Caenorhabditis elegans: one gene and its partners. The protein of the gene in region 1 interacts with the protein of each later gene in a pairwise test. Each region holds a gene or a part of one and is shown on either strand. Other genes may lie near its edges.

Evidence for each region.
Region 2: the proteins of C05C10.5 (region 1) and lir-1 interact in a two-hybrid assay, tested with the Caenorhabditis elegans proteins (one large-scale study listed by BioGRID).
Region 3: the proteins of C05C10.5 (region 1) and gla-3 interact in a two-hybrid assay, tested with the Caenorhabditis elegans proteins (one large-scale study listed by BioGRID).

The regions. Positions count from the first base shown.
Region 1 is NC_003280.10:9,936,992-9,940,747, reverse strand, and holds C05C10.5 (uncharacterized protein), read right to left. Parts: upstream 1,709-3,756; 5' UTR 1,522-1,708; coding exon 1,480-1,521; coding exon of another isoform or gene 1,476-1,479; intron 1,435-1,475; coding exon 1,331-1,434; intron 1,283-1,330; coding exon 941-1,282; intron 885-940; coding exon 734-884; 3' UTR 316-733; downstream 1-315. Other genes in the region: C05C10.7 (uncharacterized protein), read left to right, coding at 1,813-1,862, 1,913-2,146, 2,201-2,293, 2,338-2,605.
Region 2 is NC_003280.10:7,670,313-7,674,068, reverse strand, and holds the start of lir-1 (LIn-26 Related), read right to left. Parts: upstream 2,065-3,756; 5' UTR 2,027-2,064; coding exon 1,961-2,026; intron 1-1,960. Other genes in the region: lir-2 (C2H2-type domain-containing protein), read right to left, coding at 2,275-2,359, 2,939-3,358, 3,410-3,590.
Region 3 is NC_003279.8:8,212,917-8,216,672, reverse strand, and holds the start of gla-3 (C3H1-type domain-containing protein), read right to left. Parts: upstream 1,976-3,756; coding exon 1,925-1,975; intron 1,880-1,924; coding exon 1,718-1,879; intron 1,644-1,717; coding exon of another isoform or gene 1,638-1,643; coding exon 1,545-1,637; intron 1,499-1,544; coding exon 1,163-1,498; intron 1,106-1,162; coding exon 985-1,105; intron 639-984; coding exon 286-638; intron 211-285; coding exon 135-210; intron 75-134; coding exon 1-74. Other genes in the region: Protein dhs-3, read left to right, coding at 2,490-2,607, 3,398-3,471, 3,517-3,612.

The DNA of each region.
Region 1 (3,756 bases):
GCTTTTAATTAAAGTTAATCAACAAAAAAATATAACGAAATTGAGAAAAATCCGAAAAAGTTTTGATGACAAACTGCAAACGATGCTCCGAACTAACGCCACATGGAAGAGGATTTCTACGACCCCGCAGTAGGCAAATTTGCGGGAATTCAAAATTTAACACTGATAGGATGCAATTTTTTGGAGAAGGGCATTCAGATTCGCTTAAATAAATATTTGAAGTTTCACAGAACATCAAGACTTTGCAAAGAGTGTTAAAAATTCAATAATTAAAAATAAATAATACTTTTATCGGCAAACTTTTTTTAATTTAGTAGGTTTTTTGAGAGCGAAATTTACATCGCACTAGATAGTCTCGAAACAGGAGTGATACCTTTTTAATTCTTCAAAAAAAAAACAAGAAAGGAACCGAGTTTGATAGACAATTGATTTATTTTTGTCCTACGCAAGTATAAATGGGGAAACGGTGTTGGTTCATTATAAAACAACATAAAAACGCTAAAACAGCGATACCAATAGACTACAAACATTAAACGAAAGTTATTATTGCACACAACTAATCAATGAGTGGGGTGGATTCAAGAAGATTGATTATATTAAGGAATTATAGGTATATCACAATTATGACTCATGGCAACAATAAGGTTTAGTAAATTTTTTAAAGATAAAAATGCGATCTCAACTGGAAAAATGTGGATAAAACGTTGAGGGGCAGCAATTTCAGTCCTGGGAATCATGTAGACAGATTGCCGACCTGTCTGAAGATTGATTTACCGCTATCCGGAAGTCGTCCCATTCGCTGCAGAATGATGTACTCGTCGGCTGCTGGAAGTGTATCCTCCGTTGGCATTTCGTCGAATGGCCCAAGATACCGGGTTTGCGATCTGAAAATTTTAATATTTAAATTGAGCCTAAAAACAGCTAGAAAATCCAAACTCACTTGGCAAAGAACTCTCCAGGTGTCAGAAGACCACGGAAGAAGCGATTGAAGTCCTTTGGAATCGCACGAACTCCTGGCAATTGTGTCGGGGAGAGTGCTCGACGACGTGGCTGCCCATTGTCGATATTTCCTGCACGCATATTCTCTTGATTTATGCGATTTGCAGCGTCTTGTGCTGGTCTTCTGGCGTCATTGGCGTTCAATTGCCGCAATGGACGCCGCTCTGGAAGTCGAATCGGAGCCACACGGTTGACACGTGGCGGCGGTGTCCGTCTGATCGCTCTTCTGACGTCTGGTGATGGTTCACGTGGTGGCGGGCTTTGCGATCTTCTGCGGTCAAGCCTGAATAATCTTATTATAGAAACAATTATATAACATTTTGGGACAAACAATTCTCTCCATCCCTTTTCGCTGAGCTCCGAGGCTCTGGTCCATCCACTGGGGAAGATTTGGAATGGATCTGCAGGCGGGGGACACAGAATATCAGCTTCTACCTGAAAATATAAATATTGTAAACGAATTTTAATTCAAGAACTCACAGCACGCAACTGGTCCCAGCGATTTCCATGAAAATGCTCCATAATTAGTGTGTGAAATAGGTGAGAGGGAGAAAAAATGGGTCTGTGGAATGAATGACAAGCGAAAATTTAAATGAAAAAATCAGAATTTTCCCGCGCATAATTTTAATTTTCGACTGATACACTTTCATCGGTAAAATAGAGGCAGATCAATAAAATAAGTAGGTCGAAAATAATTGTTTTTGTTTTTTTTTAAACGCGCGCGCACAAATAGTTCAAACACGATGACGCAAAAATACACAGTTTCGCAGTTTTTTTAAATTTCTTTTGTTTTACAACACTCTTTTCTGAAAAATGTCAGATTTTGACGATTCTGATTCAGAATTTCAAGGATTTGAGCTAAGGTTTGTTTTATTTTAATAACTAATAATAATTCTAATATTAACTTTTACAGATCACCTCAGATCCATGTAAAAGAATTCTTGATAGTCGAAGAAGAAACTCCAAAAATCATCAAAAAGGAAGAGGTTCCAAGGAAGTTCGAATCCGAGTTTGTTGGCTCATTTCTGGGAGAAAGTCCAGTTGTACTTTCAAAAGAAACAGCGTTTGGAGAAGCTGGAGAGTCGGAAGTTCTGGATTGGGATGCCAGTACAGTTTTCAACAGCCTAGCTTGCCCTGAAAACAACCTGTGCGTTTTTTAAAAGTATACATTTTATAAAGAATTAAATTTGCCTTTTTCCAGAGAAAAGTCAGTATGCGTCATTCGTCTCCACGACGTCCTCACAAAATCCGAAATGGGAGTACACAAAATGAAGCGACAACTTATTCATTGCGGGTCGGTCTTGGAAATCAAACTTTTCATCAATTGTCAATTTTAAGACAGCTCCTTGATGAATATTCTCCTCAACAACGTCGTGATTTGGGCTTTGATGATTCTCAAAATGTGAAGAATCTTCTTCAAATGATCCGAGCGTTCCGGTCAACTGTTAAAATCATGCTGATCGACGTGGAGGATCTTCAGGACCAGATTACACAAGAAGCGCAAGATGAGACCCCAATTATATCCAAATTTTCGAAACTTTTATACGTTTCCGGTGCATTAGCCGTCATTCCTATTTGTTGGTTTATGTACCGCAGATTTTGTTAAGTTATCTTTTAAATCTTGAATAAAAATTTAAAAAAAACATATGTTTTATTAAAATTGCTCTTATTCGTAACTATGTACGGATTTATATATATTTTTTTAATTGTACAATTCGCTAAAATGACAGTAAACTACATTTGAAAATTTTATTTAAAAAGAAGCTAACGTCAGTAGCACACTTGTGTCCTGGCCACCTGTCTCTGTTGCCCTCCCATCCTTATCACAGATCACACTTCAAACATCAAACTTCTCAAGGCAGAACTCCTCCCAAATATCACCCGAATTTTTCTTCTCAAAACTTTTCGCCAGTCTCACAACCACGTGTTTCCCAGACCTTCAGTTAACTTCACTTCTCATTTTCCCTGATTTTCTGTCTGCGTCTCTATAAAAAGTAGACAAAAAATGCGAAAAAGAAACGTTTTTGTGTACTCAAGTTGTGACACACTCGCTCAGACTATTGGCTACTGATGGTTTTTAGTTTTTTTTTTGCTTTAGACAATTCTACCTCTAAAAATTAAGATTTTATAACAGTTTTCTAAATTTTTATTAGTTCAGTGAATTTATCATGATTTTTCTAGAGCCCCATCGGAATTAACATTGAAAATTTTACCCAGACGCGTTATTTTTGCAACTTTTGTACTAAAAATACAGAACCCGGTCTCGACACTGCAAAGTTTGTTAATTGAAAAAATATGTGTACCTTTAAAGAGTACTGTAGTTTTAAAATTTCGTTGCAGCAAAATTTTTATATTTTTTCTCGCATTAAACTTTAACTGTTTTTATTGTTTTGTTTTAGTTTTCTTGATAATATTTTGAAATACTTGAGATAATTGAAAAACTGTGAAAAAATCTATGAAAATCATACAGAAACGATAGTTTGAAATTACCGTACATTTTAAAAGCGCACTCCTCTTCGCGTTATTACGGGAACAATAAATCATGAGAATGCGTACTTGGTACCGTAATAAATAAAAAATTGTCGTGTCGATACCGGGTTTTATTATTTTCAGTAAATGAGACGTTCCCATCACTAAAACGTTTTATTTGTACGTTTCCGCTACTTTATTGTAAATAATATTGATAAGAAATCAAATACGCAACACGGAAATTGTTATCGAGTATCAACACACAATTATAATCTTTTCTACTTAATA
Region 2 (3,756 bases), 2.3 Mb from region 1:
CACACACACACACACACACACACACACACACACACACACACACATTCTAAGCATTGTGCTGCGGTTTTATAATATCGGACACCTTACCACCCGCTTTCAAACCGGGATGCTTAGAAGGTGATAGAAGAAATGGTGTTAACAGCGCTCACACAGTTTTGTTGTTGGTTGCGCTCGCCGGGGCACACGACAACGGCGACAACGACGCGACGAGTACAGTTTTGTCAGTTGTGTGCATTGTGCATACAGGCGCTCAATACCCGGTATGGGAGAAAGAGAAAGGGATGGGAGAAGACGATGATGGAGAACAGGAGGTATGTACACTTCGGACGATGCTGAAAGTGAGGCAGGCGCCAACGCGTTCTATTATGAGCTCGTACAGGCAAAAATGTATTCGTAGAATAGAAGAAAAAGAAAGACATTGTGATGAAATATAGATTATTCAATTACAAGATTAGTTCGGACAGAAATACCAGAACTAAATGGAATTTTAATGTTTCAGGAAAATTATTGATTAATTTATATTTTTAGTTATTGTCGCTAATGATTTTAGAATTTAGATTTAAAAAATCTCGATAAATGAGCAAACCTGTCAAATGCGAAAATTAACCAATTTCCAGTATCAAATATAGAAATATTTCGAAAAAGGGTAGAGGATGATACTGAGAGAAAGAAAACGGACGGTTGCTCCGTGAACAGAAACATTCAAATCCTCCGTTCAACATATACTATCTCTCGTCGATGAAAGTAGCATCACCGTGTTGCTCGCATAAATGGAAAAGGGAACAGAGCGAACAAAAAATACGGACGCCGATGCAGCAGTTGGCTGCAGCTCTTGCTTCCTTTCTGCACATTTATGAGAGCGCCACGACGATTGATTTCATCGATCTCTTATGTACAGGAGAAGCACCGAAAAAAGGAGCTATATATGTCGAATTCGAAATGAGCATCGTGCGAAAGAAAGAGCTTGGAATTGAGAGATCATTGATAGAGTAGAGGTTTTAGGAGAAATATAAAAAAAATGTTTGCAGTGATGTTCAAGCTAGTCTATACTTCAAAAATCTGATTTCTAAGAGAATAGAAGTTATAGGTTATGTTGAATCCCTACATTTTAGGATCAAGGGTGTCGCTTTTTCGGTTTTTTTTGTTGGAAATTCAACAAATTTTGGTTTTTTGATTTTTCGAAATTTCTCAAAAATTGCTCGAAATTTCAGCGCCTGGGCTTTTTTTAGAAGGAAATTATATTTTCTTTTGTGTTTTATATTCAACAAAATTAAATTTTGATTTTTTTTTCGGAAAACCAAAAAAGTTCGTTTTTCGATTATCTCTCAAAAAAATTGGCATTTTTAGACAAAAAAACTAAAAAATTTATTTTTCGAAATTTATCAAAATTTAACAAAAATTGCTCAAAAAAAAGTTAGATTTTCGATTATTTCTCAAACAGAAAAATTGACATTTTTTAAAAGAAATCCTTGGTTAGCATCAGACCGCACTTTTTTTCGGATTTTGGAAGAGCGAAAAAACGGAAAAAATTTGTTTTCGATTTTCAGAAAAAAAGTTTTTATTGATTTTCAATTACACTTAAAAAATTGTAAAGTCCAAAAAAAATAATAAAATCTCGGTTACTTGTTTGAAAAAAAACTTTAATCAACTTAAATTTTGAATTCCGTATAAGAAAAGTGTTTTCAAATTTTTTTTCGATTTTTTCTTTAAAAAAAAAACGGAATTTTTCGTTTTTTTTTCAAAAGTGAATTTTTTTGGATTTTCTCAACAAAAAAAACCGACAATTTTTTCAGCGGCACCCTTGTTTAGGAAGTCGATTCGAATAATTAGGGGATACCAATGGTTAATATGGACCGAAAAAGGAATCAGAGGTACAATTGGAAGTTCTATGCAAAGTTTCAAACCAGAGAAAATGAGTAAATCAATATTTTAGATAATTTTTATAAATAAAAAAACTCACGCAATAACTGAGAAGATCGATCGTTGCTGCATCATCGTTCAGTTCGATGACCACAAATTTCGGCATCCCGGCCGGGTTCGAATCGTACGAAGACGACACCTATGTATATTATTTATATTATTAGGAATTACAAGAGCACGATAAAGATATTCAGAAATAGAAATAACTATTTAAATAAGAAAAAAGAAATTACCACAAATAATAAAAAGACCGACGATTTTATTGAAAATCGAGTAAGAACAAAATTTGCGTTGTAAAACTTAAAATTAAAAGAAAATATTATAAATATCAACGAAAAAAATTTAAAGAAACTATTAAATTTTTGCTTCTTTTCCATATTGATGATTCGGGAAACACTTTGCCATTGTATCCAGCCATTCTTTTCGTACTTCTGGTGTTCTGAAAAAAATTGACTTTGTAAGATTTTTTTATTTTGGAATGAAACGAATTAAATTCAGTTTTCAAATGGACATCGTCTGAATTGGATTTTATTCAAACATTTTTAATTTTTTTTAATGGAGCGATCTTGCGACAGAATTGAATTTAAAAAAAAAATTAAATATGCTCTTTTGAAACATTTTTAGTCTAAAATATGATCTAGAAAAAAAAATTTCTAAAATTTACATTTTATTCAAAATTTCAAATCTATTTTTGCGGGTTTATGCCAAAAATAAATTTTTGGCTTATCCTCACATTTGGATAAAATTACCATTTTAAATAGAATGGAAAAAAAAAATCTTGCGGTGCAGCTGCAACATTAGTAGCAATTTTCGTAATTTATAAAACAAATTGCGTACATTTTAAAATAATTATACAATTAAAACAGAAACCGGCTTTCATGCTTTTCGAGTGAGATTAGATAAAAAAAAATAATCTCAGTGAATTAGTGATTCAACTAAAAAAGAGCTGTCGCACAATTTTTAAAATCTTTAAAAAATAATTTTTTTAAAATTTTTTAAATTCAAAATAAAAACTCACATCATATTCACAGGTTCGTGTTCCGAATTGTGTTGTGATTGTCCGTGCTGCTTTACACGAACTTTTCGTACAGCTTGATATGGACATTGGGAACATTTGAATGGTTTATGAGTGGAGTGTTTCATCATTACGTGTTCAAAGAAATTCCATTTAGAACCACCAGAATTCAGGCGAATTCCAATTCCACAAATCTCACAAATCGCTGTGACTACATCTCCACAAACACTTCCAGAACTTCCACATGATTTCATTCGTTTTGGAGATGGGGAAACTTTTCCAAAAAGTGCCAAACCAGTCCGTATAGCTTCAGTTGCTAGTTGTTCTTCCAATTCAGCAGTTTGTTCATCAACTTCTTCACTAAATTCATCATCTTCGTCATTGCAAGGTTCCAGTTTAACTTCTACATCAACACGTTCCACTCTGAAATTGAAAAAAAATTATGAAATGAAAATTCTAATTTATTAATTCTACCTGCTCTTGATTGAATTCGTCATGTCCAATTGTGATACAGGGGAAACCGGCAATTCTTTGTTAGTTGGTGGAATTGGTGTTGACCAAAATGGTGTTCCATCTCGAGAAATCTCATCTGTTTCAGGTTCATGTTCATAGTTGGAATATTCTACCGTATCGAGTCTAGGCGCTCGAGGTATACCTGAAAAAACGGTTAAAATGTTTTATTTAATTTAAATAACAGCTGCAATTAAATTAATGTGATAATTTTCTGATGAGAAATAGGAAAATTGTTAGTTTCATCTCTCAATTTCCGTTTTTCGGTCATTTTTTAAATTTTTTAAACGAAATTTCTTCTTTTTTTAGTG
Region 3 (3,756 bases), on another chromosome or scaffold:
ACGATGACGTCCTGGCATGAAATTTGATAAACGATTTCCAGTTCCATGGTAATGACAGTCCGAAGTATTTGGTTCTAAAATGTATGCAATAGTTCGATCAATTTTCCTATTTATTTGGTTGATTTCAATCTTACCGTTTCCTGCAAGTCGTGGATGGTATGGTGGGGTCATAGGAGCATTGAAGTGATGACCATTACTCATTTGATCACTCTGAACAAAAATTGTTTGAATTTTTTTAAATCTAAAAGAAATTGTGAAAAAAGAAAAACCTGAGACACCACTCACCGAAGTTTGCCTAGACACGTCACGCTCGTTGATATATCCTCGCTCTATCATAAAACGAAGGTAGTTCAAATCTTTCATTTTCAGTTTAGACAAAAGTCGATCCATTTCCGAATTTTTCTGTTGAGTCGGTTGACGATCATTGGGTCCAACTCTCTGTCCGCCTATCTCTATGTCCTTCTGACGTTGATAGATTTCACCAGCAACATTCCAAATCGCTTGTTGAAATTGCGGAGGGGGACCGCCGACCTCTCGTGAAGTACGAACATTGGATCTTGATCTTTGGTGCTGTGGTGGGATATGGTATGCTCCAGATCCCAAACGATTCGGATCTTGACCAGGGATGTTGACTGGCCCTGTAACAATGAATTTTGATTTAAAAAATCTCTGAAGAAAAACTTGTCGTAATTTCACTAGAATTTGACATGTTTTCTTGAAGGCGCACGGATTCATTCAGGGTCTCGACGTATAAAAAGTTTATGATAGTCTTTTTTAATTTATACTCCAAAAACTGATTTAAACTAATTTTAGCAAAAAAAATGAATAGAAAACGATAAAGATTGATAAAAACTAAGTCATTGTTTTGAAAAATTCAAGAAAACGAGAAATCAGCCGCAACAATTCAAAAAGACTACCATAAAAATTTCAGCGGGCTGAGACTCATTTCATTAAATTCGAGAAAACCTCGTGAAATCTCTATACCTCCAAATTGTTGAGAAGGAACCCCTTGCGTAGCACGATTCGAGGAACGTTGATGGTGTCCATGAGATGGAAATCCAGCTGAGAACATTGACTGTTGCGGGTATGGGAACGGATTCGGAGACTGAAAACAAGTTGTTCAGTTTCAACCGAAAGTTATTCTTGAAGTTACAAAACTAACCAAAAATCCGTAATCGTCAATATCATCGTCACGAGAACATATTTCATGCTTCTTTTCCTGTTCTTGCTCGACACCGTTTTTAGATAATGATGAAATCGCATCCTTCTCTGCAGCTGAGCTGGTTGGTGGTGGTACAGCTCCAATTGACATGGAAATCCATCTTTCCTGAGCTGGAGATAACGGCATCGAAGAGTTTTGTTCTTTGAAGGCAGTATTCGATGGAATATTCACTGTTAATCCTTTGACGTTGGTTGATGCACGCTTTGTCGGCGACTTTTGAATTTCAGCAGTAGCCGGTCGCTCATTCTCTTCTTCGTTCGAACGATCAATCCGGACCTGAAAAACCAGATTTCTTTGATGTTTCCTACGCTGCTTAACTGACCACTTTACGAAGATCGTCTTCACCGTGAGCATACCAGCACGCGTCGCCATACGAACAGCTGCCCGAGCGTCGCCAGTGATCGCAAATCTTTGTCTGAAACTACAAGGAATGAGTAGATCTTAATTAAAATATTGAAGTGTTAAGAAATTAAAACGTTTTTCCAAAAATAGAACCTTCCTTAATGCGGGGTTATGCTCTCGATTGGAGGTAAAATTTTGATGTTGCCAAAAACATTGAGAAGAATCTTGATACACCGTGTAGTTCCCTAGACTTTCTAAATTTCTGACTGGATCCATATCTGAGTTCAATAGAGGCTGAGGTTGAAAAGAAAACCCCTGAATTTTATTATAAACCAAAAATACACTTTTTCCGAAAATTACCGGCGGAGCAGGAGTAAGTCGACTTTTTAACAAAGATGGTTGATAAAGCATGGTTGGGTGAGTAGGATGGAGAAAATAAAATGTTTTATTAAACACTAATTTCTAGTTATTTTTTTAGCTTTAGTTTTTTCCTCTACCCCCTTCTGCTCTAGTTTCTCACGAACTACCGCTTTTCTGATCTTACTTTCGGTTTTGGGCCGTTTGGTTTATTGCCGTTGGTGCTGTTTGTAAGCGCATCACGGGGATCTATGACGACGCTGAAAATTTTGTTTTTAGCAATTAGTTATTCATACGAAGAATATACCTTATTTCCTGAGTTTTTGACGCAGAGCTACTCATCTATTTACAGAAAAATACGATTTAGAATCTGAAAATGGCTTTTTTAAAAATATTTTACTCAAAAATGGGAAACAAAGAGAAGTTGAATAAATTTAGGTAAGCAAATGAGAAAAAGTACAAATTCAAATGACACGCTAAACAACGCGCGATCGTCATTTCGGAGTGTCGTTGTGCGTTTCTCTGCGTCTCTGCGATTTGTATACTGTTTCATTTCTATATCTTTCAGGCTAAAGCATACACAGTGGACCTATCGGAATACAAAGAAATCAATAGAACCGCCGATTTGGTTAAAAGTGAAGTAGGGAAAGTAGATATTCTCGTGAACAACGCTGGAATTGTGACGGGTAAGTACAGTCGGCTGAAAACATCCAAACTTCTGAAAAATTCATGTACAATACAAAAACACAGTAAATAATAATTTTGTTCCTTATAGAGTTAATTTTTTCCTGTAGAAGACACGAGACCCGAAGAACTCGGGGGATGTCCAATTGGGGGGATTACCAACTCGGGGATTGGCCCCGCCCACAGAACCGTGGCTTGCAATACGCCCATTTCTGCAACTGCCGCACGGTTTTGAAACTGTATTTTTCTTGTTAAATCTCGCTCTATTGAGAAAAATACAGTTTCGAAACCGTGCGGCAGTTGCAGAAATGGGCGTATTGCAAGCCACGGTTCTGTGGGCGGGGCCAATCCCCGAGTTGGTAATCCCCCCAATTGGACATCCCCCGAGTTCTTCGGGTCTCGAAGACACAATGAAGAGTCGCAATACACATGGTATTAATTAAATGAATTTGAATGGCGCGGCGGGACCCACTGGCAAAAAAGCACATCCCTTGCTAATTGCATACTGTAGAGATTTAGAAACATACGAAGTTTAGCGTATTACATATTTTTCATTTTAAGCGAAATATGCCAGATAAAGAGAGAAAACAAAAATCAATAAAATAAATAAAATGATAAGACTTTCGAAAAGGTTCAGTGAACCCATTGTTACTTCACACAAAAATTACAGTAGTAATTTGAAGAATTACTGTAGTTTTCGCTACGAGATATTTTGCGCGTCTGATATGTTGCGCAATACGCATTCTCAGAAATTAGTATTCCCATAATATCTTTTCATAAAAACATTTCAAGGAAAAAAGTTGCTGCAATGTCCAGATGAGCTGATGGTCAAGACTGTTTCAGTTAACACAAATGCTTTGTTCTTTGTAAGATATGACTTTTGTTGAAAAGAGAATACCGAAATTTTCCAGACTACCAAAAATTTCCTTCCCGGCATGCTCGAGTCGAATAAAGGGCATATTGTAACAATTGCTTCAATGGCTGGAAAGTGTGGTGTTGCTGGATTGGTAAGTGATTTAAAACAAAATGTTGACCGCGCCACGAAAAGTTAAAGGGTTTAAGTTAGTCTACACAAAAGGTCGAAAAAAACTTGTGTGTAGATAGGTACGTAGGCATCCCTGTGCCTACATTGTTTTTTTAGATTACATGGT